Linked DNA regions of Yarrowia lipolytica. The protein of the gene in region 1 interacts with the protein of each later gene in a biochemical or structural test. Links are inferred from orthologs where the notes say so. Each region holds a gene or a part of one and is shown on either strand. Other genes may lie near its edges.

The links.
Region 2: of the proteins of YALI1_E33220g (region 1) and YALI1_B29539g, one has a biochemical effect on the other in vitro, tested with the Saccharomyces cerevisiae proteins (3 studies listed by BioGRID, with this or other methods). The link is inferred for Yarrowia lipolytica from reciprocal best matches to the Saccharomyces cerevisiae genes AOS1 and UBC9.

What each region holds. Positions count from the first base shown.
Region 1 is NC_090774.1:3,320,463-3,323,633, reverse strand, and holds YALI1_E33220g (uncharacterized protein), read left to right. Parts: upstream 1-1,621; coding exon 1,622-2,671; downstream 2,672-3,171. Other genes in the region: YALI1_E33234g (uncharacterized protein), read right to left, coding at 1-202; YALI1_E33150g (uncharacterized protein), read right to left, coding at 2,883-3,171. UniProt on the Saccharomyces cerevisiae protein: Could be involved in a ubiquitin-related process important for DNA damage tolerance.
Region 2 is NC_090771.1:2,952,982-2,955,819, reverse strand, and holds YALI1_B29539g (uncharacterized protein), read left to right. Parts: upstream 1-1,802; coding exon 1,803-1,846; intron 1,847-1,902; coding exon 1,903-2,338; downstream 2,339-2,838. Other genes in the region: YALI1_B29548g (uncharacterized protein), read right to left, coding at 30-1,004. UniProt on the Saccharomyces cerevisiae protein: E2 ubiquitin-like--protein ligase mediating SUMO/Smt3 attachment to septins and PCNA. Seems to be involved in degradation of S- (CLB5) and M-phase cyclins (CLB2).

The DNA.
Region 1 (3,171 bases):
GTGTCGGACTGATTGTGTCGTAGAACCGCAGAATGTCAGAATAATGCAGGTTGACCACCTGGTCCGTCAGTTCTCGTTGGAACTCGGCCATCTGGACTGGCAGACAGTAATCCATGCTGCGGTTGTCGGAAGCAGCGTTGATCACCGCATCTGTCGAGAGAATCGGCTCCGGCGTCACGTCCAGAATTTTTCCAATGTCCATTTTAGTAGGTGTCAGGGGACTTGATGCAGATAGAGATCAGAATGTCGTGAGGAAGAGATGAAGTGGTGAGAGAGTGTCTGCGTCAAGTTAAGGTTTGGCTCGTGGTCGTCAGTATTTGACAACGTTCAAATTCGCGTAGGAGTGGTGATCGAGGTGTAAAATTCACGTGGAGGGCTTGAAATGGAATTTCTAAGATTATGTCCAAATTTCAGCTCATTCGAGAGCCATATTTCACGTTTTTGAAGTATACATCCCACCTGCTGTAGGGAAGCTTACGTACCATTAAGTTGGTTGCCCTTATCCTCTGTTTTTCTGTGGGGTGTAAGAAACGACGGTGATTTTCATATCAGCAAGAATGTCACGTTTTTGACCTCCAGAAATGCCAGATATCGGATAGATTTCTTGTACAAGTAATGGTATTTCAGTCACCCTGCTCGTAACACCGCAATCATCTGCTTAGTAATCTATATCTTGATAAACTACATAGGCCATCGTGTGTACAGGCACTGGTGTGAAATTACGTGTTGGTCACTTGTAAGCGTCTTTAGTGTGTGCTAATAGGACTGGGCAAATACTGTAGAGAGTATAATACAGTATGTGGTGTGGTTGTTGTATTACTTGTAGTAGCTAACGTGACCTTCAGGGAAGGCCTATATTTGCTGTGCTGTTTGATCCATCCATTGATAGCAATTTTAGCGTGTATAAAAATAAATACATTCTCTTGTACTTGTACTTGTACTGTAGAAGTGCTGGTACTTGTATCTCTCATTCCACAAGCACATAGAAATCGCATGCTTAGTAATCATGCATTGTGATACGTTTGTCAGGAGCACTGCAACAGAGAGATCAAGAGCTACTGAACGAGACCAGACACTAGGATTGTTGTGGGGAATAATATCGTTTCTACAGGTTTGGGGTCCATTTCTCGTTTACATACATTGAACCCTGAGACTGAGGAAGATTGTTACACCACACGCAGGACTATCAATTCGTGTCTATCAGTTATGGATGAGACAAATTATTGAGACCATTATACTATAAGCAGCAGTGGGAAAGACTGGTGTCGTTTTATTATCAAGACTGATGAGAACTCCAGAAGTAACTGGAACATCGAATCCGTGCTCTCTACTGGGCCGTTGAAACTACAGTAAATTTACAATGAATTCCAAATCAACTACAAGCGTTGAAAAGAGCACATTGCCCAAGATGGCACCATGAACTCCTATACACTATATTGTATTGTAGTCTTACAGTATCATTAGGCATAACTTCGCAGATAACCTCTCATTATTCTTCTCGTCCGACTCCTCCGCACAACCCTGATTCACCTCTGACATCTCAGACCTTCACTCATTATCCTGCATATTATCACAACGCGTTTGAGTTTCCTGATCTCAATTGCACCTTTCAACACCAGCAATGACGGAAACCAGCGTGGGCAAGACGGAAAACACGATCTCGGCCGACGAGGTGGCACTTTATGACCGGCAGATTCGACTGTGGGGCATGGAATCGCAGGCGCGGATGCGTAACTCCAAGATCCTACTCATCAACATCGGGGCAGTCGCCAACGAAATCGTCAAGGACCTGGTGCTCGCAGGTATCGGCTCGTTGACTATCGTGGATGCGCACGTCACCTCTGATGCCGACTTTGGAGCACAGTTTTTCGTGCAGGAGGGCGACGAGAACAAAAACCGAGGAGAATCTGCCCTGCCTCGAATCTCACAGCTGAATCGACACGTTACCGTGGAGACGGTGGACAAGGTCATTTTGGACCTGGACAAGGAATTTGTGGGCAAGTTCGACCTCGTGGTTATCACCCAGGCCACTCTGAAGGAGATTGTGCACATTACAACCCTGTGTGAAGAGACAGACACCACTAACATCTGCGTGGGCATCTCTGGTCTCTTCTCCTACGCCTTCATTGATTTCAGAGAGTATACTTACAAAATTGAGACTCCCAACAAGCCCTCGACCATGAGCATCCCTGAGCAGGCTACCTTGGTGGGGACAGTTGAGTTAGAGACTGGAAACTACAGTGCTTCTCTCAAGCAGAGCTTTAAGCCGTTCAAGCAGGTGCTCGAGGCTGTTCAGACGCCGAAGCCCTTTGCTCACATGCGACCTAAGCACAAGTCTCGAATCCCCGGATACGTGCCTCTTCTGTTTACAGGCTGGGAGTACGAACAGACAAACCCCGGAAAGTCGTGGGGCGATTTGAGTGCAAAGGAGTTCCACGAGCTGGGTGTGGAGCAGTGTTCGAAGCTGCAGCTGCCTCTGGGAATCATTTCTGAGGAACTGGCACAACAGGTGCTCACTAGCAAGGACGCAGAGATTGCCACAACTGCATCGATCATGGGAGGAGGTATTGCTCAGGAGGTGCTCAATTATCTGGCCCGATCACAGATTCCCATCGACAACTTTTACGTCTTTGATGGAATCAACGGAGAAAGTCCGATCTACAGGTTGTAATGCAGTTGACAGTTTGGTTTTCTGTATTGGATGATGTAATATATTGTTGATGCTAGCTTCTTGGAACGCAACCGTAGTAAACATTGATTCAGATCTACAAGTACATACTGTACTTACAAACACAATAACAATCATTCACATAATAATATTAACCCACATAAGATCCTCCGACTACAATGTAGTACATACATCCGTTGAAAAACAAATCCGCTTAATAAGGAATACCGTTTGTGATTCGCTGGAACTCGTCGTAGCCCTTGGTGTAGAAAGACTCGATGGACTTCTTGATGAGTCCTCGGAAGTGAGTGGCGGCCTGAGCTTCAGTCTTCTCCAGAACAAATCGCCGTCGCAAGTTTCGAATGGTATGCTCCTTGAAACAGGGAAGTCCAGAATCCAACATGGGCAGAACCAGCTGGATGATGGTCTCAGCATGAGGTCGACAAGCCAGGAAAGCCTTGACAGACAGTTCCTCGAACCATCGGTAAGCCTGGGTCTGAGTG
Region 2 (2,838 bases), on another chromosome or scaffold:
CTTCATCACTCGCCTATATAATCTATCACTTACTGCTGGTTGCACTCGGGCATGTTCTCGGGCATCTCGGGCATCTTACCGCCACCAAGACCTCCCAGTCCAAGACCATCGAGACCGCCAGGAATGCTACCGTCGGCAACATTGGACATGATCTCATCCGGAGGAGCACCGGTCTCCTGCATCTCGTCCATCAGCTGGGTGATGACGGCTCGGTCGGCTTCGGAGTCGTCAGAGTAAGAGGGGTCCTCAAACTTGGCACAGATTTTGCCAACAATGTCCTGCTGCAGCTTAAGTCGGTCTCGCTCCTTCTCCTCGGTCACCTTGGATCCGTGCTCGTCCCACCACTTAGGGTAGTTGTCGTGCATCTCCTTCAACGGCTGGTACAGAACCTCCTTGGAGGCCAGCTGACGCATGATTCCTCCTAACATATCTCCAAAGTCGCCTTCCCCGCCCTCTCCAAAGCCTCCAGCACCCGACAGCTGCTCCATGAGGCCAGCGAGCATGTCGTCACCAAGGGGCATGTCCCCCATCTCCTGGTTACTCTGGTTCAAACGGTCAGCAGTGGCGGAAATGGTCTCTTTGAATGACTTGGGCTGCTGGGCCTTTTCGGATGCGGTGGCGCTGGTAACGTTGTTGATCTCCTTGAGCAGAGACTCAAACTGGGCCTTGGACTCGGGGTCTGCCTCGATGTCCTTAAGGAAGTCGTCCATCTTGAGCCCAGCGAGCTGATCCTCGAGGTTGGGCAGAGAAACCTTCTCCGCACCGGCCTCCGCAGAGTCAGTGGCCGCATTCTTGTCAGCAGTATCGGCTCCCTCAGTCTTTGAATCGGTCCCGGAAGTTTCGGTGCTCTTCTTAGTGGCATCAGGCTTAGCCTCGGCAGTGGTAGGAGCAGTAGATGTAGTAGGGGTAGCATCCTTCTGAGCTCCAGGAGGCTTGCTCAGCACCTGCTCGTCGAACTCGTCGAGAAAGTCATCGAGGTCATCAAGATCTTCTTCGTGTGACATTGTTTTTGTGGGTGTGAACTGTGTGGGGGTGTGGTTAAGAAGCGAACACGATGGAAATCAAGGTGTTGGTCAACTTAGTTTCTTTCACAAGGTGGGGTGTGCAGGGGGAGTCTATGATCATCAGCCGTCTGAGTGGTTAGATTTGGACCAAGGAGGTGAGACAGGTGTAATTAATGAAGTAGTGGTAATTAATACCACGGAATATTCAATGGAAAATTCTTCCTCCACTTCCTCCTCTTCTGGCTTCTATTTTTTGGCACAAACGTGTGTGTGGGGTACGGGTTAGGGGCGTGGGGCAAGTGTCAGTCAAGCTGTCTCGCTGTAGAAAGAGGGCCCTTGAGTGTGCAAATTTGTGTCTTTGGAACAAGGGGGTCTCGGAATGCAAAGGATCATGAATGAAAAAGATGCTTCAAGAAGGTCTCTTAGTTAGGACAATTTTTTGTACTCGTACTTGTTCCACATCTTCATTAAATGAGCTCTGATAGGTGTAGATCCTTCTGGGAGAGGCTTGACGCTTAGTAATATTGAAAGTCAGTAATCCAGCCAAACCACCAACAAATATCTTGGGCGTAGGTTTTCCGTAGAATATACGCCAAATGAAGTAAATAATTCTATGATTGGACTCTCCCACGTGAATAATAAAAACACCTCACTTCCATACCCACATAGGACTCGAACCGAGTGCTGAAAGTTAGCTACGTTACTATGGAGATAGTCGGCCACAAACAAAACCTCTTTAGGAGACATCATCACATCGCATTCTCCACACACACCACACACAAGACACAACCAGCAAAAATGTCGGAAGACTCGTTGATGCAGAAGCGACTCATGGAAGAGCGGTGAGTTACAAAGACCAATCTTTATTCACCTAGACGCCCCGTTTTAACTAACTCAGGAAAACCTGGCGAAAGTCACATCCGTTTGGCTTCTTTGCTAAGCCCGCCAAGGACCAGAACGGAAACCTGGATCTCACTAACTGGAACGCCGGCATCCCCGGAAAGGAAGGAACCGCCTGGGCCGGTGCCACATACCCCATGCTCATCACCTTCCCCAAAGACTACCCGACCAAACCCCCACGATGCCGATTTGATGCTGGGTTCTATCACCCCAACGTCTACCCCTCGGGCACCGTCTGTCTGTCAATTCTGAACGAGGAGGAGGACTGGCGACCTTCCATCACGCTGTCTGAGATTGTCATGGGTATCCAGGAGCTCATGAACAACCCCAACCCCCACTCTCCCGCCCAGAACGATGCATTTGCCGCCTTCCAGAAGAACAAGGAGGAGTACGATAAGCGGGTGGCCGAGCAGGTCAAAAAGTACGCTGCTTAGAGTGATACTCGGCGTTCGTATTAATGCATTACGCGATGCTGGAGGACTTTAGAACTGGAGTCTTGAAGGAGGATCCAAGGGCCGAGATGAGCTGATCCACCCTCACGCGACTAAACATTAAATATAACATATGTATGCGTGACGCTTGTGGGTCAGCGGTTTTCGCATGTTTTAGTCAATAGATGTATTTTTTTTCTCCCTCCTGTCCAATGTTTGGTGGTTATGACAGCCCCAAAGTTAAGCCATTTTTCATTAGTCAGCTCCATGGGTTCATTTTCGTGGAGCTCTGTAAGCGTGACTCAGTTGACTCAACGTGTGGGCATGGAGGTTGGGTTTATCCGTTGCTTGTCATACAAATTTGAGGATATGGTTTGCTGTTAATGTCGGAAAAATGTGCAGGAACATATATCAAGTACACAGCTATAGCTACACGAGGGGATGTAACCAGGGGGATATGACGGCTTCACTTCATAGTGGACAGAAATACCGCTCAAAAACCC